6 linked regions of the Ovis aries genome follow. The protein of the gene in region 2 purifies or fractionates together with the protein of the main gene of each other region. This does not show direct contact. Links are inferred from orthologs where the notes say so. Each region holds a gene or a part of one and is shown on either strand. Other genes may lie near its edges. The genes, in order: WDR82, CXXC1, SETD1A, BOD1L1, BOD1 and SETD1B.

Region 1 (4,282 bases), on a different chromosome or scaffold from region 2:
TCCATTATAAAGAAAGTGTCAATGAACAGTAAACAGAGAAAATATTAAGCACAAAGAATTTTGTTTTAGCTATTTTCAAACTCCCAACATTAGTACCATCTAATACAGATACTGCTTTCCAAGGAAATCTTACTTTTCTTCCAATGTTGGTTTGACCTACACTAGTGGCAAATTTTTTTCTTCATGTTATCACTTAGGATCATGGACTCCTTGAGGCTAGAGAAGAGATCTGACCAATGTCACATACCGAGTCACAAAGCCAAACTAGAACCCAGTCTATCAGATCACTCTCTTATCACAGATCACGGTGAAACAAGGTCACAATTCACATGAGAATCTTTTAAAGAATGTGCTATATACTACTGTGTCAATATTACATCTCTAATTTGGATAACTGTAATCTGGTTACATAAGAAAAAGTCCTTGTGCTTAGGATATCCATGTTGAAGTGTTTAGGATAAAGGGGCTTGATACCTCTATATTACTATCTAATGGTTCAGGGAAAAAAATGCATATATATATATATATACACACACACACCTGTATATACATACACACACACACATATATATACATATACATATGTAAATATAAACATTTACATAGAAATGACAAAACAGAGCAAAACATAACTAATTATTGGATCCTGGGAGTTCTTGTAAACAATGGTGTAACTTTTCTGCCAAGTTTGTAATTATGTAAAAATGCTACATGAATGAATGAACTGAATTATGTCATAAAATTAATATTTTACTTATAACAAGAAGGACTTCCAGTTAATGTCATTTCTACTAAGGGGTGGAAATTATGCCATATTTGGAGACAAACTTTGAAGAAATGCTTCCATGATTTTCATTTTCTTTGAATGAAGATACACACCTCCATCCTCAAGTTCCAGGAAGAGGTTCTAATCTGTGCACAAGCACTAAGCATTTCAAGCAAATCAGCTTAAAAATTTCTTCCAGCTCCAGGACCCCACAACCTCTATCTCCACCCTAGCTTTATACATGACTCTAATCCACGTTAATGCAAGTGGCCAGACTTGGACAGAAATGAATAACATTGACTCACATCACCACTCAGCATTGGTCCAGCTAACAATTCTCTTCCCCCAGGACCACCACTATAGGCCACTCTTCCACATACTGCAGGCAGATCCAAAGCCAGTTACATAATACTTTTTCACAGTCCAAACAGGAAAAAATTGGGGAGAACAATAGAGTTCAGACCATTACCTCAAATGACCAAATTCAGAAATGAAGAGACAAGTTCTGAAAGAAAGTTTATAGAAGACATCAGTTTAAACAAAACGGACAAAAGGAACAGCTGGAGAAGGTAAAGAAAAATCCAAGGATTCAAAAAGGAGCTCACAATTTAGCAGGGACATGAAGAAAGCAAGTCTGGGGCAGAGCTGAGGAAAAAGGGATAAAAGGGGGGAACTGGCAAAATGCTGTGCTTTTAAGATTCTGCAGAGATACAGATGTGTTGGGTCTCCAGAGGACTTGGGACAACCTAGAAATGTCATGATCAGACTTAGAACTGTGGTTAAGTCCTAATCGACTGTAAGGTGTAATTTTAAAAAACAAGCCTAAGAAGAAACACGAAATTGTTACATGATATTTTCTTTGTTCTATTAGGAGGTTCACATTCAGGTCGGGATGGGACGGCCAGGTTCGTCCGTGTCTGGCAAAAAGGAAAAGTTTCAGATGCTGTTAAAAAGTTAACTATAAACGTAGGAACCGGGACTGAGGGAGGAAGAGAATGATTTGCAACAGAAAGGAAAAGACAAGGGGCCCAAAGAGGCACAACAAATCAATCCTGACAGGTAACAACTGCAACCCACGCGGCCTTCCGGCAAAAACACGGCGGGAAGCTGAGGGGCAGGGGACCGGCGATGGGCCAGGACTGAATCGAGGTCACCGAGCAGAGGGCAGAGGGAGCTGCCTCTGCTGAATGAGGCAGCCGAGCAGCCTCCGCGGTTCTGCAAGGGGGCCACAGCCGACGGGCACCGAGGACGAAGCCCGCCTAACGGAAAAGCTACCAGCTGGGGCCGCGGTGGGCGGACCCGGCGTTTAAAGGTCAAGGTCAAGGTGGGGTTTGGCCAGAGATGCAAAAACGGTCTAAAAGGAGACCGAAGGAAGACAAGACTATTGTTATCGCCATCGTTATTAAGAAAAAAACGGTCTCCCAGACGGCTTCGGAGGGGACGCGGCCCTGGCAGGACCGTGTGCAAAACAGGCCGCGGGGCCGGGCCCGGGCAGAGAGCGGGCCGCGGGGCGAGCGCAGGGCCACGACGCGGAGGGCGGGCGGGACTCAGACCCGGGCCCAAGGCCACCGCCGCACTCACTTGCCCTCCTGGCAGTCATAGAGCACGATGGAGTCGTCGTCGCTGCTGGAGATGACCGTCTCGCCGTTGGGGCTGAAGTCGAAGCAGTTGATCTTGTCAGAGTTTTCGCGGAACACCTTGGCGACGCGGAAGCTTCGCAGCACGCTGTCGGTCAGCTTCATGGCGGCGGCTGCCTGAGGCGGCGGCGGCGGCGGCGCAGGGCCAGGGCGGGGCCCGGGGAACGGGCGGGCTGCCGAGGGGCCGACCGGGGCGGGGCGGGCGCCGCGCCGGCGGCGGGCGGGAGAGCGGCCGGCAGTCGGGACGCCTCCTCCTCTTTCTCCTCCTGCTTAAGCAACACTCTTCTGCCCGGACTGTGGGGCCTTGCCGACCGTTCAGCCTCACGGTCGCCTCAGGGCCAACCGGCGCGACGCCGGCTCATTGTGTCCGCCATCTTGGGACGACAGGCAGAAGCCCAGGGCGAGGAACCTCACCGCGGAGCCAGCCGGGAAAAGGGGCGGGGCGGTAACGGCGGCGCGAGGCGAGGAGGCGGGGCGGTGACGTCAGCGCTGCCGGCAGGGAGTGGCGTGGCTGGGTGGCCCCAAGAGGCAATTCCCAGACCTGCTGCGGGGGCGGGAGGGGAAGGGACTCCCACGTCCTTACCCCTTGGATTCCAAGGCCCCGCGTGACCCGGAGCCTCAGGCCTGTGTGCGGGCTCGCCACCGCTAAGAGACTCAGGCGCCCCCTGCAGGAACCCCGGCCGCAGGCCCAGGGACAGCAGGTACTGCGGAGGTGGGCTACGCCCCAGGAGGCCTGTTCTGGGTGTGAGTCAACGCTGGTGGCTTTTGACCGTTGGTCCGCAACAGACAGAGCCAGATTTCAATTTCTGTATTTTTTTTATTAAGGTGTACTATACGTTAGATGGAGAAGGCAGTGGCACCCCGCTCCAGTACTCTTGCCTGGAAAATCCCATGGATGGAGGAACCTGGTAGGCTGCAGTCCATGCCAAGGGTCGGACACGACTGAGCGACTTCCCTTTGAGTTTTCACTTTCATGCACTGAAGAAGGAAATGGCAACCCACTCCAGTGTTCTGCCTGGAGAATCCCAGGGACGGGGGAGCCTGGTGGGCTGCCGTCTATGAGGTCGCACAGAGTCAGACACGACTGAAGTGACTTAGCAGCAGCCTACATTAGATTGCATAAATTTTAAGTGGATGAATTTTCTTTTCATTTGGTTGTACCTTCTTGTGACTACCACCCACAACTTTTCTTTAAGCCTTCTTTGAAAGCGTTGTAGGGCTTCCCTGGTGGCTCAGTAGTAAAGAATCTGTCTACTAGTGCAGGAGACACAGGTTCGATCCCTAGTTTGGGAGGATGTCACATGCTGCAGAGTGGCCTATGCTCTAGAGCCTGGGAACCATAGCTATTGAGGCCAACTCCTTGGAAGGAAAGTTATGACCAACCTAGATAGCATATTCAAAAGCAGAGACATTACTTTGCCAACAAAGGTCCGTCTAGTCAAGGCTATGGTTTTTCCAGTGGTCATGTATGGATATGAAAGTTGGACTGTGAAGAAAGCTGAGCGCCGAAGAATTGATGCTTTTGAACTGTGGTGTTAGAGAAGACTCTTGAGAGTCCCTTGGACTGCAAGGAGATCCAACCAGTCCATTCTGAAGGAGATCAGTCCTGGGTGTTCTTTGGAAGGAATGATGCTAAAGCTGAAACTCCAGTACTTTGGCCACCTCATGCAAAGAGTTGACTCATTGGAAAAAACTCTGATGCTGGGAGGGATTGGGGGCAGGAGGAGAAGGGGACGACAGAGGATGAGATGGCTGGATGGCGTCACCGACTCGATGGATAAGAGTTTGAGTGAACTCCGGGAGTTGGTGATGGACAGGGAGGCCTGGCATGCTACAATTCATGGGGTCGCAAAGAGTCGGACACAACTGGGAGACTGAA
Region 2 (3,948 bases):
TGACCCTTCCACCATGGGACGCTCTGCCTGCTCACCAGGCTGTGGTCATCGAAGGCCCCTGCACAGAAGTCCTGGTACAGTTCAGAGTCCAGTGGGAGGTCCTCATCCGAGAGTGGCTCGGGTGTTGCCGTAGCCTCCGGTGGCTCCTTGACTGCCGCAGATACCACTGCCCCCTCATCCTCTCGGAGGCGCCCCAGCTTCTGCGACGGCTGTGGCTGCGGCTGGGTGGGCAGGGGCCGGCGAGGCCTTGGCAGGGACTCTGAGGGCGTCACCGGCGAGAGCTGCGGGGCAGAATCTCAGGACTGGCCCTGACCGCCCGGCCCGCATGCCCCGCCCGCCCTGGGGGGCTGGACTCACCGAGGAAGGGAAGTACTTGTACGATTCCTGTGCCGGCAGGAGGAAGGCCCAGGTCAGCCCCAGGTGGAGGGAGGGGGGCCCTGCCCTCGCCCTGCCAAGTGCCTGACCCCACCCACCAGCCTTGCCTCACCTCCCCAGACACACCAGCCTGCCCACAGCTCATCAGCAGGACACATTCAGCCCTGTCCCAGCCAGGCCCGACCACCTAGAAATGCCTGGCCCTACCCTGTCCACCTGGAGCTGGAGGTTCCCCTGCCAGCCCGGCACATCTGGTCACACCCCGCTCATTTCGACAGGACAGGCCGCTCGCCACCTGTCTGAATGCGGTTAGATCCCACCCCGCCTAGCTTCCGGCGGCTCTTCCTGGACAGCTGGACCCCCACCTGACCTCGCCCAGCTCTGCCCATGCTCACCCGGGCCCGAAGCTGGCACTGACGCAGCCGGCACTTCTGCCGGATCTTGTTGGGGCCCCCAAACTTCTTCATGTCTCGGCAGAAGTCACAGTGACCACAGTCCTCCGTGCGCCGGCAGGCCTCGCACTCGCCACACATGCGGGCTGATCGTTTGACCTGCTGCTGCTGCTGTTGCTGCTGCTGCTGCTGCTGCTGCTGCTGGTGATGCTGACGGAGGGGCCCAGAACAGAACTCAGGGACCAAGCAGGGCCTCCCAGGGGAGCCCCTCACTAATCCCAGCCATCACTGCCACTCACCTGGCTGGGCGTGGCCACCAGGGGCTGTGGAGAGGATTTGTGGGGCGAAGCAGATCCCCGAGCAAGCATGGTCCCAACCCCTGTCCCTGCCCCTGCCCTGCGCTGCAGGTCCGGATCCGGGGCAGGCCTCTTGCGCCCTCCACCCTCATCCCGGGGCTCACTGCCGTCTCGCTCGGAGCTGTCTCGCTCCCGCGACTTCTTATGCCGATATCGGATCTCCAGCTTGGGGTCCTTCTCTGTGGGGCAGAGGGCAAGGCCAGTGGGGGTTGTTATGGGGGGGCCTGGAGGGGCCCCAGAACTCTTTCTTCCTCCTCTGGCCCACCCACAGGCTCTGTCTCCCTACTCCAGGGCAGAGCTGCCCCTTCTATCACAGCTCACAGGGCACCAACCCGCAGTCACTCCGCCCACAGCCGCCCATCCACTGCTCCCCATGACCCACCCTCCCATGAAGTCTCCTCTTCCTCCCTCGAAGCCCCAGCTGCCTGCCCCTCACCTCGGCACTCACGACAGTACCACTCCCGGATGGCCTTGGCCATCTTCTCAGTGATCCGGATGCAGTCCCCGTGAAACCATTCATTGCAGTTGTCACACCCGCTGTGGAGCACGGGGCGAGTGATAGGAGATGTGAGGGGCGGGACCCACCGGCCTCACCCCACCTAGCCAGGTGTCCGTCCCGCCCGCCTCTCCTGGGCTCACATCATGAAGCAGTTGATGTCTGGTTTGCGGCAGATGCAGTAGATGGGCGCATTCTCCCCGTTCTCGGACTTGCTGTCCTCCCCGGCGTCTGGAGGCTCTGGATCTGAAGCGTCGCCCTCCTGTGGGACCCGCCCCCCATCATGGCACCTCATCCGACTAGTACAGCCCCATCACGGCTCACCACACATCTCAGGTCTCCCAGTGCAGACTTCCCACCATGGCTCCTCATTAAATCTCTCCGTCGTGGTCCCCATAGACCACTCCCCATCGCTCACCCGTGACACCTCCGTTATCGGCTTATTCACTGTCTCAGACTTTCCAATCACTTACCCCACTGACACCCCATCACTAGGCACCCACTCACATAATGGCTCGCTGCAAACACCCCGCCACTCGCCACATTTTGCCCCCGTCATGGCTCTGCATGGACCCCCCATCACAGGCTCTCATAGGTACCACTTTATTCATTCGGCAGACTTCCCACCACGGTGCCCTTCAGGTTCTGGAGTGATCGACTTCACGGGCGGCCCCGCCCCCCTGGTTCCCTGATACGGACTCATCACGGCTCCCTCCAGACTGCCCCAACACAACTCTTCGAAAACCTCCCCACCACTCTGCACAAAGAATCCCCCATCGGGACCCTGAAGGCACTGCCATCAGGGATCCCCGCTAAACTTCCATTACAGACCCCCATGATGGCTCATCAGAGAACTCCCCGATGGTTCCCCCACGAGCAAAAATTCGGACCATCAGACCCCCGTCATTCCACCCAGGGACCCGGGTTAAGGCTCACAACAGACCCTCCCCCTCCCCCATTCTGCCCACAGTCCCTGGTTATGGATCACCACAGACCCCCACGAGCCTGCCAATGGACTCCACCATTTCCTACCTCACTGACCTCTAACCGCCGACTCCCTCCTGGGACCGCGCACTTACCATCTCTTGGCTCCCGACGCACCCGTTCGCGAACCCCGCCAGTGACCCGCGAACCTGCACAGACCACTCGGCGGCGTCCGCGGCCGTTGCAAAGGCGCCCACAAGCACTTCCGCTTTTCCTGGTGCCTCCCAGGCACCATACTCCTACTGCGCAGGCCCAGTGCGTCGGTTCCGCGACACGCAAGTTGGTGTCTCCCGGCTAGAGCTCTGACTGTCTCCAAGGTGCCTCCATCTTGACTACAGACACCGTACGGCCGCCGAGCTCGTGTGCTCTCAAGTGTTCTCGGGAAACAGGGCGGCGCCTATAGTTCAGCTTTACCAAAGGCGCCGCCATCTTGTTGGCTGGGCTAGTCCGTACAGTCACTACCTGTACGGCCGCTAAGTTTAGGCAATATGGTCGCGCCTACTGCGCGACTTCCATGCTGACGCCGCCATTTTGGAATCGTACGCTCAGTAGCAGCGTCCTAATCGGCCACCGAGAGGGCGCCGCCATCTTGCCGGTGGATTCTGGCGCCGGTAGCTGGTATTGCCTAGATGTCTGTAGGGACGGGGATCCTCTTTTAGTGTTCCTAAAATAGTAGCTAAGTGTTCCTAAGATAGTAGCTCTTTCCACTCTTCAGTCGTTTTTCCGCGTCTACTAATGGACGTCCGTATACTGTGTGCCTTATGCTGGGAAGGAAAGCAGCCCCTTCGTTATGCGTCCCACATTACCTCTGACAGGTAATTTTTGCCTATTAGGGGCAGGGGAAGCCCAGTCAGGCTTATATCTCATTTGGCCTAAACGTTATGTAAAACTGGAACAGCCTGATTTATGATCTGTCAAGTACACGCTGTGGAGAAGGCAATGGCACCCCACTCCAGTACTCTTGCCTGGAAAATGCCATGGGCGGAGGACCCTGGTAGGCTGTAGTCCATGGGGTCGCTGAGGGTCGGACACGATTGAGCGACTTCAATTTCACTTTTCACTTTCATGCAGTGGAGAAGGAAATGGCAACCCACTCCAGTGTTCTTGCCTGGAGAATCCCAGGGACCGGGGAGCCTGGTGGGCTGCCGTCCATGGGGTCGCACAGAGTCGGACACGACTGAAGCGACTTAGCAGTAGCAGCAAGTACACGTTGTACATTTGTGCTAACCACTGTGATTAAAGAATGCCCACTTTCCGATAGGGAGAAACGCCTCCCTTTTGTGGTTAAGCAAACCTGCTTTCTCCAGTAATTATTAACTTACAGGAGTTTCCCATATTTTTCTAC
Region 3 (4,175 bases), on a different chromosome or scaffold from region 2:
GATATGAATTTGAGCAAACTCCAGGAGATAGTGAAGGAGAGGGAAGCATGGCATGCTGGAGTCCATGGGGTTGCAGAGTTGGACAAGACTTAGCAACTGAACAACATTAAGTTTCTTTTAGTGTAAGTTTCTTTCTTGAGTAACTACTACATACTAGGGGCTTCTCATAGGTCACCTTATTTAGCTTATTTAACTGATTTAACAATCACCTCAAGAGACAAGTCTTTATGACTACTATTTCAGAGATAAGGAAGCCTCAACCTAAGAAGGTTGAGGATCTTTCCGAAAGCCACACACCCAGTCAGGGAAAACTTGAACCACCTTTACTATCACAAGGGGAATCTTTCGCTTGAGAAAAGGAGTATCTTTCAACTAGGACCAGAGAAAGAATCTGATTTCATTATCCCTGTTTCCATTGTAAATTTATTTCTTCAGCCTCATTTTCCTTAAATTTGTTAAGGGTCCTAAGCCTCTCCCAGAAGGGTTCTTTTGGTGTTGAGATTTTGGACAAATCGCTTTTCCTGTTCCTTAAAAGTGTGAATTTACATGAACCAGGCCTCAGGGGCCTTTCCTGCAGTTTTAATGCCTACAATAGTTCTGCATAACAGTAATTAACATCTATTTTCCGAGGAAGAATCTAAAGCTTTTTGAAGTTAGTGACTTGCCCAAGGTCATACATCAAAAAGTCTGGAACTTAGGGCATCCCCTCAGCTCTGACAGTGCCTGGCAGTGCCATTACCCTGAGACCAAGATACCTGCGTCTAAGCTTACTAAGAAAAAGGGTGCTGAGCATCAGGGCGACCTCAGCCCAAGTCTCAGGTTTAAGCCTGGGCTGGTGCTGCCCTCGAGCGGCGGGACTGAGTAAGGCAGGCGGGGCAGAGGGTTGCACAAAACGGCACAAAACGGTTACTGAAAACGGCGGGCACTGGGACCATGATAATCTGGGAAATCGACCAGCCCACCCTAGTTCACGTACTACCTAATTTATCGTTTTTTACAGGACCGGTTCAAGATCCTTTAGGACCCACCCTTATCGCATAACTTTGATACAGACTAAGATTTAATCACTAATGGCGGGTCAGTACAGGCAAAGTGGGGCACCCTCTGAGGGCCTCAGTGTCCCCCATCTGTCAAATGGGCATCTTAAAAAACTGCCCAAAGAGGATAATGGGAGGAAAACTTTCCTTGCATTACGTGAGGCGCCAAACAGCCTGAGTCACCGTTGTTGGTGGTATTTTTCCATCTCCTGGGCGCCCCTCCCAGCCCGCCCGGGTTTCCGAGGGTCCTACAGGAAGCGCCCCGAAGACGCCGGGCTCCGCACGCTGACCACGCCCTCTGTGCGCGGAGCCTTGGCTCCACCCACTAAATAATTCGCAGATTCGCTAGGCCGGCTCCTCCTCCGAATTTCTCGGGCCCCTCCATACTCGGCTGAAAATTCTCATCGGACTCCGTAACCATTTCCCCCAGGTCGGAACTGAGCAGTCCTCTGAGTTGTGCTAGTAAGAAAGATCCAGGAAAAGTGGCCGACTCTGCCAACAGGGCTTGGCTAACCAGGCATTATTTTCTTGACTCCACCAAGCCTGGTGAAGGGAGGCAACAGCTGAGGCCAAGACTCGTGGCGAATCTGCAGCCTTTCAGACCTTTGATCGCTTAAGGAAGGGGCAGGAAAGAGGAGAAAAGGAGCGCGCATCTCGTCTACCGATTCGCCCCGCCCGCCTGACGAATCTGCGCCTGTTCAACGCGCCACTCAAATCTCCCCAGCTCTGGCTGGCCTCCTCCCCTTCGCTCCGCCCCCTTTTCCTCTGGGATTAGTCGCTGCTTTCAACGCCGCCGATTCGTCAAGGGTCCCAGGCCAGAGCAGCTGGATAGTCGCGGTGAAGTCCATTCTCCGGGGGATGCGGCCAAACTCCAGGCTCAATGGGCCGCAACTCTTGAGCTTCATAGGCCGCCGACCGAGGCGAAGCCGCTATCCTCGGCCCCGTGGGTCTCCCGGAGTCGCCCGTGGCGAAAGTGCGAATATAGAAGCTGTGCCCGCTGGGCCTCGCGCAGGTGGCGGTGGTGTTTGGTGCGCGCGCCGGGGAGGTGGTGGTGGGGGGGCGCCGCCGCCGCCACCGCTGCGGGGCCGGGTCTCGCGCTGTCGCCGCCGCCGCCGCCGCCGCCTCGCGCCGCTGAGGTGCCGCGCGGGGTGGGGGGAGGGGGAGCCGCTCGCCGCGAGCGGGTGAGTGGGGCCGCGCCGCGCGTGCGCGGAGATGGGGGGGCAGAACGCGCCGGGGCGGGAGGAGAGGGCAGCGGCGCGCGTTTCCCCCACCCCCCGCCCGGATTCAGGGCCGAAGCCGGGTCTCGGGCTCGGTCTCGCGGTGTTTCCAACGCCCCGAAGAGGTGCCACTTCTTGGCCAGAGGATCGGGGCGCGGGGACGGGAGCGGTGTGTGGGAGCGGGAGCCGGGCTTGGCCTGGGCCGCTGGCCGGTGAGGAGGCGGGAGGGGGCGGGGCCTGCCAGGGGGCGGGGGAGGGGTCTTGCGCCGAGGCCAAGTGGGGCGCGCGCTAGGGAGAACGGGAAGGTAAGGGGGCGCGAGATGGGCCTGGGGGCCAGAGGGGAGAGTTGGGAGGTGGAGAGAGGATGGGGTGTTATGGTGAAAGAAGGTACTTGGGAGAAAATCTGGGGGAGTCTCGGGTCATGGTGAGTGAGGTATGGAAACTGAGGTGATGAGAGTTACCTGGAGTCGGGGCTAGTCAGTGAGGGGCAGCAAGGGAGTTGGGCCTAAGTCGTGAACCCCTTTGCTCATCCCTCTTTCCTCGCAGTGTAAATGAGCAAAGATGGATCAGGAAGGTGGGGGAGATGGGCAGAAGGCCCCGAGCTTCCAGTGGCGGAACTACAAGCTCATCGTGGATCCTGCCTTGGACCCTGCCCTACGCAGGCCTTCTCAAAAGGTGTACAGATACGATGGAATCCACTTTAGTGTCAACGTGAGTGTCCCAGGCCTTCCCCAGATCTAGGGAACTCAAACCTGATCTCCTCTGTTACCTCTGCTCATAACCTAGAACCTGCCTTCTTTAAAGTGGGCAGCCAGAACCCAGCTCTTCTGCTCGTGGATCTCCAGAGGGGCTCTAGAGATCAACACTGTGGTTTCACCTTGAGCTGTCTCTCTGTTCCTGATTATTTTCCTAGGACTCAAAGTATATACCAGTGGAAGACCTCCAAGACCCCCGTTGCCACGTCAGGTCCAAAAACAGAGACTTTTCCCTCCCAGTCCCTAAGTTTAAGGTACGTTTCTGCTAGTCTCCTGGTGTGGTGGCCCTTGGAGGGTGTGGAGGCTCCATCCTGGTAGTCTAGTCTTAATGTAGCATAGGGAAAGGGGGTTTTCCTAGTGAAAGAGTCTAAAACAGATCTAATAATCTCTGAGGCTGAGACTGAGTTGTTGTGGACAGGAGGTGTGTTTATTTTCTGGAGAGGTATATGTTAGGTGTTTCAAAAAGGGTGTTAACTTTTTGAAGGGTGAAGACAGGTCCATCTGCTACACCTATCACTGTGTACTTCTAGACTGTGCATAGCAAAATAGTACCCTGTGTGCTACCCCAATTTCTCAGTTAAGGGGAGTGACAGTGCCAGGGACTTCATCCCTGGAGTCCTCTATTCCTCTCTCTTACTCTGTGATTTTTCCTCAGAGGATTCCCATGTCTCTGTCCAGGCGGGATACTCATCAGTCCTTGGAACACTGGGTCTAGAAAACTGGTGGTTCTTAATCTCCTTTGTGAACTCTATTCTTCCTTTTTAATAAGTCACTTGTGGGGTTCCCGCTTCCCTCTTTCACATTGTATACTTTTCCTGGACAATGTCTTTCCCATCCACAACTTTGACTATTACTGAAGTGTTGATGGCGTCCAGATCTCTTGAAACTCCAGACTTATTTGCCTGGTGGAGGGACAGCTCCATCTGGAGGCCCCACAGAAATCTCAACCTCAGGAGATGTAAAACAATTATCTTCACCCCCTTTGTCCTGCTTTTCTTTCCATTTTCCTTTTGCTGATGAATGGCAACACCACGTACTCAGCTGCACAAGCTAGAAACCTGGGTGTCATCCTATGATTCTTCTGTCCTTAATCTGTCACCAAGTTGTGCTGACTCTTTTTCTAAACACATCTCTCTTTTTTTTTTACATTAATTTTTCTGTTTCTG
Region 4 (3,500 bases), on a different chromosome or scaffold from region 2:
ACTTTAGAAGATCGGCACGAGCTGCACTGTGGAAAACAGACTTCAGACAGCAAGGGTAGACTAGATGCAGGCCAGTGTACAGCTGTAATCTGGGCAGGAAAAGAGGATGCTCTGGACAGGGGTGATAGCAGTGGAGGGGATGGGAGGTGCTCAGGTTCTGGCTGTATTCTGAGGCTAATGCCGGCGGGATTTGCTGCTGTTTCGGGTGAGGGGTGGAAGAGAAGGAGTCTTGACGATGTGAAGGCTTTTGGCCAGGAGCTTATTGGAAAAGACTCTGATGCTGGGAGGGATTGGGGGCAGGAGGAAAAGGGGATGACAGAGGATGAGACGGCTGGATGGCATCACCGACTCGATGGACGTGAGTTTGAGTGAACTCTGGGAGTTGGTGATGGACAGGGAGGCCTGGCGAGCTGCAGTTCATGGGGTCGCAAAGAGTCGGACACGACTGAGCGACTGAACTGAACTGAACTGGACTGGAAAAAGGAGATAGCTCTCCCCAGAAGAGTAATGGAGCCCAAAATATTATCGCAGTCACTAGGCTTTTTTACCTAAACGAGAACTTAGAAACCAAGAAATTTAACTTTTATAGTTGAAGTTGAAGGTTGTTTTATAAGCAAGTAGAGTGCTAAATACACTGTGACATTTGAGCCTAATGTTTCTGAGGTTTGGGAATATTGGGAAGAATAATTGTGTTTTAGAATCATTGGGGAGAAAATTAGTTTTGTTTATATGAATTTTGGATAAATGGAGAGGAACATGAGAAATGATCATGAGACTAGTTTTGGTCAGATGGAATATTTGTTGTTCAGTCACTTAAGTTGTGTCCAACTCTTTGCGACCCCTTGGATTACAGCTCGCCAGGCTTCCCTGTCCTCCGCTATCTCCCAGAGTTTGCTCAAATTCATGTCCATTGAGTCGGTGATGCTATCTAACCATCTCATCCTCTGCCACCCCCTTCTCCTTTGCCTTTAATTGTTCCCAGCTAAATATAGGTATAGAATAGAGGATAGAATATAAAGGATAGAACATAGGTATTAGCAAAATTCTGGTAATTGGAAGGGGTAAAGGGGTGTCACAGAGGGATAAAATCTTTCTCATCTCCATTACCTAGATGGTTACCCAGTCATCTCATCTGATAACTGTTTTTTACTTGCTTATCTGCCTAGCAGTGTGAAGACAAAGACTAAAAGAGTGAGAGAAGGCTTACACTTCAGTAAGGAGATAAATATGCCCCCCTCCCTAAAATACAGTACAACACAAGAATTACTTGAATGAGCGTGTCGGTGCATGGGCGAAGGGCCGTGGAAGTCTACCTTGGGAGTCAGGACGGCTTTACGGGTTAGGTGAGCCCTGAAGGCAAGGAATTTGCCAGATGGACAGGGAAAAGGAGTGGTAGGTGTACACGATTGAAATCATGGGAACTTGTGACTGAAGAGTAAACTTTGAGGGGTTAGGGAGCAAACAGCAGAATCAGAGTTGTACAGTTTTGCTTAAAATCATTCGGGAATACTCCGACTTATCTACATTAAAAGTCACATAAAAGATGTAAAGAGCACACGTGGTGGGGACAGCTTGTAGGAAGGAAGCGTGCAGTCAGACAGTCCTTCCAGGCAGCATAGAAATGGCCTGTTAGCGTGGGTCCTCTCTCCTGCTTCTTAAGTATCAGTAGTGCTCAGCTTTAGCACAGCTGACATCTTGGGCTGGATAGGCCTTTGTTGGGGGGGACTGTCCTGTGCGTGGTAGGATGCCACTGGCAACTCCCCTCAGCAATGACAATCAGAGATGTCTCCAGGCATTGCCAGCGGTCACCTGGGTAGGGGTGGGGTGGGGGGAGGCAAAATTGCTTCCAGTTAGGAACCAGTGCCTTATATCTAATAACACCTGGTTCCAGCGATTGTCCCTTCTCAGTTTCTCTTGGATCCATGCCTTTCAGCCCATTTTTGCCACTCCAGTACAGATTTTCATTCTTCTAGTTATTGCCTGCTTTCCTGCAAATATCTTGAGTCTATTTACTCTCTCGCCGTAGGAATATCAGGTCAACTATCACATATCATGCTGCTCATATGTGCTGTGGGTTCCCATTCTCTCTCGCATAATTCCAGGCTTCATATATGAGTCCCCAAGTTCTTCTAAACCCTGGTTCCAGGTTATGTTTCCAATCTCATTTGTCTGTTTTTGTTTTCTCTCCTCCAACAAAATTGCATTTGATGGTTTGGGGGCTCCCTAACTCTCCTGACTCCGTGTTTTCTCATCCACCTGCTCTTACATTGCTCGCTGTACCTGTGCAGCCCACCTTTCCTTGTCCCAGCTGTGTTGTGAAACTTTGAAGGTCTAACTGGGGTGCCCTATTCTCAATGAAGGCTCACTTCCTGTCTGCTGTTCTCCATTTCTTCACTCCAAATCATCTAACAGTAACACTTCTTGGTATCTCATCTTCTAGTCTCTTGTCTGTAATTAGCTATATCTGTCTCTGCATTCATCTGTAAACATTTTGTTTTAGATCAGTGGTCTTTGAATGTCTTGTATTATCCTGAAGCAGAAGGATAATACAAGGTCGTCAAACTATGAAACTTTGTTGCCACATTGATGCCGCGAGAAATGTTAACACTGCTAAAGATACTCAGATTCCTGAGACTATGGATATTAGTGTTGATATTGTGTAACAGTGAGGTTTTCAACATTGATATCTTTTTCTTTCTCTCTAGCCTGCCTATCAGAATCTGAGACAGCGTGTTGACAACTTTGTTGCAAACCACTTAGCAACTCATACATGGAGTCCCCACCTCAACAAGAACCAGCTTAGAAACAACATTCGCCAGCAAGTGCTCAAGTAAGTCTCAGAACTGCAGAGTTCCGAGGAAGGCTTGAGAATGTCAGTGTGCCTTGCCTGAAAGCAGAGACATTTGCAGAAGTTTGTTCACCTTGTGATAATTTTGTCAGGTCTTGTGTGGCTGCTTCATACAATGAAACAGTGTAATTTTAGAGTGGACTCTAAATCGCTTCACATTTCCCTCATAAATTTGACAGTCTGATTGTTCCTATAGACCTTTGGAAATAGTGAAGGAGTGACTATGTGACTTCAGAAAAAGCCCTCTAGATCTGATGTGAATGGATGGCAAATGCCAGGTTGGTCAGGGTGTCCTATACAGTTACATTTACAGTTACTTTTTTGGTCCTGAAAGAGTAGGCTTTATTATTCCTGGTTTACAAATAAAGACATTAAAGATGACTGAAATTGAAACATTTTCTCCTGATTTGAGACAGTGTCTTCTATGTTCTAATACAACTGCTTGCTTTTTTTTCTTTTTCTTTTTCCTGGCTGAGTGTGGCTTGTAAGATCTTAGTTACCCTGTCAGCGATTGAACCTGGCTCTAGCAGTGAAAGCGCTGAGTCCTAACCCCTGGACCACCAGGGACTTTCCTGGTTTGTGTTTGTTTTGTTTTTGTTTTTAATTTTCCTGTGATTTTGCCTGTGGGTTTCAGTGATGATATAACCAGAAA
Region 5 (4,116 bases), on a different chromosome or scaffold from region 2:
CACAGCTTGGACCTAAGCCCAGGTTGCCTATAGCTGAGCCACCAAGTCTATCCAGACCAGCTGAACTTTAGCTGACTTGCAGTCCCATCAGCATGCAAACAAATGCTTATTATAAGCCACGAAGATTTGGTTTACTATACAGCGTTACTCTAGAAAAAGTCTGTTAACAGTCAGGTGCATGACACTGACAAAGGAATCAAGAGGCCTCAGTTCTGTGAGCCGGCTCTTCCCAAAGGCCAAGACTCACAAACAAAGACTCTCCACCAAACCCGAAAAGAGAAAGGCAGGGAGGCGGATGAGGACCACAATTCACAGCTCCCCATGTACTATCCACCTAGCGAGTCCTTCTTCCTGGTAATTGCCTTCCCTTTCTCACAAGGATAGGGCAGTGGGCGCCACATTCTCCTGGCCACAGGGGTGGCTTCCTGAACCACGTTTAGACGATGCGTGTGTTTTCTGGGATTTTTTTTTTTTCCTTTAACTGGAGCCATTTTGAGAGGAAGAAGCTGTAAGATGTAACCGAATGGATGACTCTGCTCTGCAGTGACATGGGTTAGATAGCCCTGGTGGAGAATTCTTGGTTCCAAATGCAGCCCTACCCTTCTGGCAGTTTTTTAAATTTTACCCTTCCTTAGATTCCCACAAGTCAATAGATTTGCTCACAGGAGTTAGATTTGTCACTCCTAACCATCAATCCTGACGCTGTCTCTTTTACTATTCAAAATGATTCACCCAGTTTTAGGTAGGACTGGTTACTGAAAAGGACAAAGGACAGCTAACGTCACCAACCAAACTCTAACCTTAACAGACCCTGACAATATAGCAAAACCCCTTCGGTTCATGAAGTGAAAGATCTACAGTGCCTGTCACTAACGCTTTATTACACTATCACTTTCCCTTAACCTATCAATCTATTCTATTTATTTATATTTTGGATGCATTGCAAAGTAAATTACAAACATCAGCAGTACACATTCCGTTCCACACATCTGCAGTCTGGGGTGGAGCCTAACAATATGCAAATCTAACAAGTTCTTAGGTGATGCTGATGATCCAAGGACCACGCTGTGAGAACGGTGGGACTAAAGCAACAAAGGATGTGCCTGGAGACACACTACCTCAAGAGCTAAAGCAACCTGGTGACAACCAGAAAGAACATCTAAGGGGGTGTTAAGTGGTGAAGGCTCTGATTCCCTCTACCCCAACAGATTCTCAATACCGACTAAAACAAATGTATACCGCATGGGTTAAGCCACATAAAACCTAGTGAGACATAAGAAAACATAGTGGAGAACTTGCGATGGGAAGCTGAGAGCACCCAGGACTGGAAAATGTGAAAGTTCTGTCAATACATACGTTAAAAAAGAAAAATTAAGTAATTCATTCCAAGGAGAGAACTGCTCCATGCGTTTTTTAATCTTGGAGAATAACAGTATACTTACTATACATATTGTCTGGTCTACACTTCAGTTTTCTACACCAGAATACACACTTTGAGGACAGGATAGTGACATGCTTGACCCTGTGTCCAGAAACCTCACCAATAAATGTTTAATGGATAACCTATCTTTAAGGCCTAGTTTTAAGCTCACAATCTTCCTGTGAGGTAGGCAAAAGATTTCCATGTTGGGCTCAGAGAGGAGAAATCACTTCCCAAGCGGAGCCCATTCAGTAAGAGAGCCTCCTATATCTACAACCACAGTCTTGTGAGAGAAACTTCTGAAAAAGGAGTAAAAAAAAAAAAAACATTTCAGCGACTACTCTTTGACACTTAACACCAGTGACTTCACTGAACACAAATGAATCTAGGCAAGGTCAAGTGAAACAGTATTAGCCGGTTGACCTGTGGCATTAGGATCTAACAGAATCTTTCAGCCAGTGATGAAATACAAAATAAGGGTGCCGGTTCTACGAAAATGTACCTTAATTAACTGCATACTCAAGCCTGCAAATCACTGAGCTAGAGAAAAGGAAGAAAGGCTGATGTTTGTGCATTCATACCATTCCTGCTTACTTACCCGGTTTTCTCCGGTGTTCTTAACATACTGAGATTTGTTACTGTTGTGCTTAAAGGAGTCTCATCTTGGGAAATACAGGGTCGAGGCTGTAAAACCGGTACTGGGTCCCCAAGTTTAGAGTGCCGTTGGGCTAAGCCGCACAGAGCAAGGATGGGGCGGGGAGCCGAACCCACGTGGACATCCCTCAGAAAGCTTCCTATACTGCCCCAAGCGGTCTCCTCGCTGCTGAGATTTGAAAAGCACCTTTTGTTTTTCTCTCGTATTTGGAAATGCGAAGCTGCAGCCCTAGCAGCCTCACGCCCAGCCTGCCCTCCATGAGCCCAAGCCGCCTCCGCTGACCTTGGTGTCCACGTCGGCCAGGCAGTCCCGGCGGAAGCTGTCAAATAGACCCCGGCTCTTGAGTTGCTCCACGATGAGCGCGATGAGCTGCGGGTCGCCCGGGGGCAGTGAGGCCGGGTTGATGGGGCCGCCGCCCCCGCCGGCCCCGCCGCCGCCCGCCGCCGCCCCCGCCGAGGCCGGGCCCGCGCCGCCGCCGCCCACCGCGCCGGTGCCCCCTCCGCCCCCGCCGTCAGCCATGGCTGCGCGCCGGGCCCGCCAAGGGGCCCGAGTAAGGCTTCCTCTCAAGAACAGAGGGCCTAGGTCGTGGAGAGGTGGCGGAGGGGCCTGAAAAGGAGAAGGCGGCGGCGGCGGCGGGGACGCAGGAGGAAGGCGCGGCGCCGGCCTCCCCAGCGGCCGCAGCAGTCTCTCAGGTAGCCGAGCTGCTGCCGGAGGCGGCGGAAACCGCCCGCCGCGTCCCGGACGCTCTACGGATGACGTCACCGCCGATCTTTGCATTGTGGGGCGGGAGGTCTTCCGGCAGGCAGCTCCCGCTCTCTTATAAGCAGAGGTCTGGCGGATGGAAACTACATCTCCCGGCAGGCTCCGGGCTCGCGTCTCCAGTTGCGGGAAAGAATGGGACTTGTAGGCGTAGGCCCTAGTTATTGCTGCAGCGTGGGCTGGCCTTCCTCGCCCTCACCCGGTACTGCCCCCTTGCTCTAAATCTGCTCATTCCCAGAGTACCTGATTATAAGAATCGTCTGCTAGGCTTGATTGAATGCATAGATTAACAGGTTTGTCCCTTAGAGCTTCTGATTCAGTATTTCGAGGTCGTGGCCTCGGAATCCGTGATTTTAATGTATATTCCCACGCCCTTGAGCAACAAATATCATCTGGGAAATGTGGTAAGCAGTGGACTAGTCACATTTCTTTTATTCAAACATTGTGGGTTTTATTTCCCCTTCTGATTTTAGTAGAAATACATACTTATTTTAGAAAATTGAAAAATAACAGAAAATTTTGCTGTAAAAAAGTTCCCTGATTTTGTGTGTGTGTGTGTGTGTGTGTGTGTGTGTGTGTGTATTTCTTTCCGGATAGTTTTTTTTTTTTTTGTCTTGCTTGGTCTGACTCTTTGCAACACCCAGGGACTGTGGCTTGCCAGACTCCTCTCTCCATGGAATTTTCCAGGCAAGAGTACTGGAGTGGGTTGCTATTTCCTTCTCCAGGGGATCTTTGCCACTCAGGGAACAGAACTCTCATTTCCTGTGTCCCCTGCTTTGGCAGGTGGATTCTTGACTACTGAGCCACCTGGGAAGCCTATAATAATAATAAATGAATGTTGAGTAATTGGAATATTACAGGCATGATACCAAGTACTTTACATACACTACCTCACAATCTAAAGAGCAGTTATTATCACTATTTTGCAGATCCAAAAATGGAGGCACAGAGTTTGTTACCCTGATCACCTAGCTAAAGGTGGAAGAGGAGGGGCTGAAGTCAGGTCTCCTAAATCCAAATCTTGGCCACGTTTAATCTAAGGTGTACTACATTTTATGAGCTGCTGCTGCTGCTGCTGCTGCTAAGTCGCTTCAGTCGTGTCCAACTCTGTGCGACCCCATAGACGGCAGCCCACTAGGCTCCTCTGTCCCTGGGATTCTCCAGGCAAGAATACTGGAGTGGGTTGCCATTTCCTTCTCCAATGCATGAAAGAAAAAAGTGAAAGTGAATTCACTCAGTCCTGTCCGACTCTTAGCGACCCCATGGACTGCAGCCCACCAGG
Region 6 (3,948 bases), on a different chromosome or scaffold from region 2:
GAGAGAGGAGGGAAGACACAGTGTCAACCCTTGAACACCCAGAGCAGCCCGCCCAGCTCTATCGGGAACATTATCAATGAAACCACACTCCGGGCCCAGATTGGTTCCCACTTCCAGGGGGAGGGGGCGGCAAGAGGGGGAGGGGCACTCCCCAACCCCTTAGGAGGACTTTTTTAGTGGAGAGACGTACTCTTTGCACATTTAAAGGCGGCCTCGTGGCTCTCCTCAGCGCCGCCCCCCCCCCCATAAACAAACCCTGTCTCCTCTCCTAACAGACAGCAACACTGGGGACTGCCTAAACCCAGGCCACCAGGGCTCCGAGAGGGGCCCACGGGGGTGTCAGCAGTAGGGAAGCCTCCAGGTGGTCCCTAGGGGTGCAGTGGCCAAGGACCGGCACATTTGGTAAATTACAGTTCCGTCTCCTAGCAACAGACAACACATTTAGCTCCACGTGACTCTACCCTCAAGAGGGGGGCAAAAGAAAAATAAGGTTTTAGGGGGGTACCCAAGGAAAACTGAGGGGCTCCCCAACATGCAAGACGGTCCCTGGGAGAGAAGGCAGTCACACTGACAGGTCTTGGGGCTCCTCGGCGGTGGCTGTCCTGAGCGGGCCTCCACTCACCTTTGGTGTCCAGCTCCACGTGGATGATATTACCCATGACCGAAGTGCTATGCAAGTGCTGAACGGCCTCCTTGGCTCCCCTGACCGTGGCAAAGACCACTTTGGCAATGCCCAAGTGCTTCTTGGTCTTGGGGTTGTACAAAATCTCCACCTCCTCCACCTCCCCATACTTCTTGCACATGTCCCTTAGGAAGTTTTCACGGATGTTATCATTCAGCTTGGCAAATGTCACCTGCTTCGGAGGCACCGGGCCCACATAGAACTCATCGATCTGGCAGGGGACGAGGGGGAAGGGAGTTTGGAGAACATTGAAACCGAAGGGAAAACAGAACATTTCCCACTCGCCCGCTCTTTGAAAACAATGAAGGGCAAAAAAATTTTTTAAAAAATTGGTGGGGGGGTGCGGGGGGAAAAAGCACGCGGGCGGGCCCGGGAAGCGGAGGATTAAATCGTTTGGAACGTGGAAGTTCTCTGGGTTCGAAAGGAAAGGGGAAAAAGAAACAGTTTCTCTTTCCCCACACCCCCCCCCCCAACTCTGGCCTCCTCTCCCTGCTGCCTGGGCAGGGACGACCCCTCCGGCTAGGAAGCTGTCCCCCTAAAGCCACAAAGCCGGGAAGGGGGGCGGGTCCCAGGGCCGAGCTCCTGGGCTGGCAGGAGCCAGGTGGGTACTCGGAGCCCCCAGCTGGGCGGGCAGGACACTGTATCAGCTCCTTGATTACAGTTTCACCGAGTGTTATTCTGTTTACAGTAGCCGAGAGGGGACATCCCCTCTCTCTGCAACCTCCCCCTCCCCGCCAAAAGTTCCCTAGCCCCTGGACGGCGGGAACTCAGAATCCGGCTGGGCTTGGTCAGGACTGGCGTTATTTTCGAACTCGGGGAGTAGGGGGGGAGGGGCGCGGGATACAGGGGAGGAGGTCCTACCTTGAATTTGGGGACCGACAGCTCCAGCTCCTTGTTTTTTGTCCAGATGCCGACCACCCGGGGATCTTCGACAATTTCCACCGGGCGGTTGCTGGACATCTGTGGAGAAGAAAGGGGGGCGGAGTGGGTGGGCTGGTCTCACTCCCCAGGGTCAGGGACAGGAACCCCCCTTCTCCAGGCACTTGTCAAACTCCAGGACTGGGGACCTGGCTGACAGTTGGCCGGATGGTCAGGAAGGGGGGGTTCCCCAGGCCGCTCGGACCACTCAGCCCCCACCCTCTTCGGCATGGCTTGCGGGGTGCGGGGGGGCCGACAGGGAGGCGCGCCGGCTACTCACCGCAAGGCTGAAATGCTGCCCATCGTAGCGGTACAGTTTATGATGCCCCTTTTTCAAAGCCGGGTCAATCATCAACTTGTAACTTCTCCAATGGTGGTTCCTCCTCTCGCCCGAAGGGCCGGGCTGCGGCGGGGGCTGCTGGTGGTGGTGGTGGGGGGGGTGACTGTTCTCCATGCCGTTAACCCAACCTGAAAACGAGCAAGTTGTTGTCGTCTCCGCCGCGGCGGCGGCGGCGGCGGCCGCTTCTACACACACGCTAAAGAATCACATCGTCCAGCCCCCCACCCCCTCCCACCTTACCAGCGCGCCCTAAAAGGAGCTGGCTCCCCCCAAAAATAAGAATGGAGCGAGAGAATAACCCTTCCGGAGAATTAGGCGCCCGCCCGCTCGGCCACCGTCTCGGAGCGGCTGCGAGGGGCTCCCGGGGGCCCCTGGTGCGGACTGGCGGGGCCCGGGGCACCCGGAGGACGCGGGCTCCGGCCCATGGTGCCCGCCCGGCCGCCCGGCCGCCCGGCGTGGCGCTAGCTCGCTCGCTCGCTCGGCCCGGCTCGGGCGCGGGGCTCGCGGCAGGCCTGGCGCCGCCCGCCCGCTCGCTCGGTCGGCCGGAGCGGGGGCCGGGGCTGGGGGCTCGGGACGCTCGGCTGCCGGCCGCGGCCTCTCCCTCCCCGAGCCGCGCTTACATCCCCGCCGGGCGCCGGCCTCCCTGCGCCGCCAGCCAGTACATGGTGTCCCCCGCGGGAGCCGAGGCCGGAGCGGCCGGACGGGGGGCCGGGAGGGGGGAGCGCCGCCGCCGCCGCGGCTGCCGGGCCCGGAGCTGCTGCCGCCGCCGCCGCTGCTGCTGCTGCTGCTGCTGCTGCCCGGGAGGCGGCTGGCGGCGGAGGCTCGGCTCCCAGTAGCCGCACATCCCACAATACACCGCTAAGGAGCCCGACCCGAGCGCTCACCCTCCTCCTCTTCCTCCTCCTCCTCCTCTTCCTCCTCCCCTCTCCTTCCTCGCCGCTTCCCCAGGCACTCTCCCGGCGGCGGCAGCTGCGCCGCCAAAGCCCCGGGCCCCAGCGGCCCCCCACCCCTCACTCGCGCGCTCCCACACTGCCTCCCCCCTCCCCAGGGGAAGGCCTTTTAATTTATTTATTCTGCTGGGACTTAGGTTGGGGGCTTGGCGGCGGGGGAGGGGGGGGTCTCCCCGGGCTCTACCTCCCGCGGCTGGGGCTACCCTCCGAGCCGCGGCCGCCGCGGCTTGCGCCTCGGGCCTCCAAAACTGTTTCCAAACTGCCAAGACCGGAGGTGGGCGCGTGGGGGCCCAAGGGAAAGGGCTGGTTTTGGGGTGTGTGTATGATTGTGTGTTTAGACGCCTGGAGCCGTGAGGGGCGGCAAGGCGGCCCCCAGACGAGTTGCAATCGAGGTATCTCGGCTACGGCTTCCTCTTCTGCCCCGCGACCCCCTCCCCCCGGAGCTGAGTTGGGGAGGGGAAACCAGGATTTTAACCAAATTAGCATTTACATTCCTGGGAGGAAGCAGCCCTGGCCTGGACCTGGGTGATAGAAGCTTCTTTCTGTTTTTATTTTTGGAGAGGAGTGCCCTTGTAATTGTCGTGAACACATGCTTCTCCCTCCGCACCCCCCTCCTTTCCTCCAGCCACCGGCGGAGGAACGATTCCCCCTTTTTTGCATTTATCTTTCCTTCCCCTTTCTTTATTAAAGGTCCGGGAGTGGCGGCGGCCAATCAGCGCGCGGCTTCCATTTTGTGAGTTCAACTCCGAGGCTCTCGGGCTTCGCGAGGACGCGTTTGCAGCCCCCTCTGCCTCTCCTGTCTGGCGGCCGAGGAGAGGGAGCCGCCTCGCTGGGGTTTCGTGGTAGTGTATTTCATATTGGGGCTCTTTTCGGGGTTTGTAATTTGGCCGTGGGTAGGTAATTGGCTGGAGCAGGGCGGCCGGGCGCGGCAGCCAATCAGCGCGCGGCTTCTATAGGGCTTGAGTTATTAGACGCTGATCTCAAAACATCCTTCATCAGACACCAAGGAGAGGCCAACAGATGAGGGGAGCCATTTTTCTGCAATGGAATTAAATGGC

What was found.
Region 1: the proteins of CXXC1 (region 2) and WDR82 purify together in Homo sapiens (affinity purification with western blotting; 7 studies listed by BioGRID and IntAct, with this or other methods). This does not show direct contact. The link is inferred for Ovis aries from reciprocal best matches to the Homo sapiens genes CXXC1 and WDR82.
Region 3: the proteins of CXXC1 (region 2) and SETD1A purify together in Homo sapiens (affinity purification with western blotting; 16 studies listed by BioGRID and IntAct, counting the BioPlex papers as one, with this or other methods). This does not show direct contact. The link is inferred for Ovis aries from reciprocal best matches to the Homo sapiens genes CXXC1 and SETD1A.
Region 4: the proteins of CXXC1 (region 2) and BOD1L1 purify together in Homo sapiens (affinity purification with mass spectrometry; 5 studies listed by BioGRID and IntAct, counting the BioPlex papers as one, with this or other methods). This does not show direct contact. The link is inferred for Ovis aries from reciprocal best matches to the Homo sapiens genes CXXC1 and BOD1L1.
Region 5: the proteins of CXXC1 (region 2) and BOD1 purify together in Homo sapiens (affinity purification with mass spectrometry; 4 studies listed by BioGRID and IntAct, counting the BioPlex papers as one, with this or other methods). This does not show direct contact. The link is inferred for Ovis aries from reciprocal best matches to the Homo sapiens genes CXXC1 and BOD1.
Region 6: the proteins of CXXC1 (region 2) and SETD1B purify together in Homo sapiens (affinity purification with mass spectrometry; 11 studies listed by BioGRID and IntAct, counting the BioPlex papers as one, with this or other methods). This does not show direct contact. The link is inferred for Ovis aries from reciprocal best matches to the Homo sapiens genes CXXC1 and SETD1B.

Annotation. Positions count from the first base shown.
Region 1 is NC_056072.1:48,700,823-48,705,104, reverse strand, and holds the start of WDR82 (WD repeat-containing protein 82), read right to left. Parts: upstream 2,801-4,282; 5' UTR 2,509-2,800; coding exon 2,348-2,508; intron 1-2,347. UniProt on the Homo sapiens protein: Regulatory component of the SET1/COMPASS complex implicated in the tethering of this complex to transcriptional start sites of active genes.
Region 2 is NC_056076.1:50,262,677-50,266,624, forward strand, and holds the start of CXXC1 (CXXC-type zinc finger protein 1), read right to left. Parts: upstream 2,801-3,948; 5' UTR 2,702-2,800; coding exon 2,699-2,701; intron 1,882-2,698; coding exon 1,763-1,881; intron 1,661-1,762; coding exon 1,560-1,660; intron 1,303-1,559; coding exon 1,067-1,302; intron 978-1,066; coding exon 771-977; intron 385-770; coding exon 358-384; intron 282-357; coding exon 36-281; intron 1-35. UniProt on the Homo sapiens protein: Transcriptional activator that exhibits a unique DNA binding specificity for CpG unmethylated motifs with a preference for CpGG.
Region 3 is NC_056077.1:27,608,646-27,612,820, forward strand, and holds the start of SETD1A (histone-lysine N-methyltransferase SETD1A), read left to right. Parts: upstream 1-1,375; 5' UTR 1,376-2,010; exon of another isoform or gene 2,011-2,218; intron 2,219-2,276; exon of another isoform or gene 2,277-2,466; intron 2,467-2,800; 5' UTR 2,801-2,815; coding exon 2,816-2,965; intron 2,966-3,167; coding exon 3,168-3,263; intron 3,264-4,175. UniProt on the Homo sapiens protein: Histone methyltransferase that catalyzes methyl group transfer from S-adenosyl-L-methionine to the epsilon-amino group of 'Lys-4' of histone H3 (H3K4) via a non-processive mechanism.
Region 4 is NC_056059.1:109,481,492-109,484,991, reverse strand, and holds part of BOD1L1 (biorientation of chromosomes in cell division protein 1-like 1), read left to right. Parts: intron 1-2,705; coding exon 2,706-2,830; intron 2,831-3,500. UniProt on the Homo sapiens protein: Component of the fork protection machinery required to protect stalled/damaged replication forks from uncontrolled DNA2-dependent resection.
Region 5 is NC_056069.1:5,498,082-5,502,197, forward strand, and holds the start of BOD1 (biorientation of chromosomes in cell division protein 1), read right to left. Parts: upstream 2,801-4,116; 5' UTR 2,595-2,800; coding exon 2,358-2,594; intron 1-2,357. UniProt on the Homo sapiens protein: Required for proper chromosome biorientation through the detection or correction of syntelic attachments in mitotic spindles.
Region 6 is NC_056070.1:53,527,458-53,531,405, forward strand, and holds the start of SETD1B (histone-lysine N-methyltransferase SETD1B), read right to left. Parts: upstream 2,801-3,948; 5' UTR 2,561-2,800; intron 2,421-2,560; exon of another isoform or gene 2,181-2,420; intron 2,069-2,180; 5' UTR 2,055-2,068; coding exon 1,881-2,054; intron 1,643-1,880; coding exon 1,544-1,642; intron 894-1,543; coding exon 623-893; intron 1-622. UniProt on the Homo sapiens protein: Histone methyltransferase that catalyzes methyl group transfer from S-adenosyl-L-methionine to the epsilon-amino group of 'Lys-4' of histone H3 (H3K4) via a non-processive mechanism.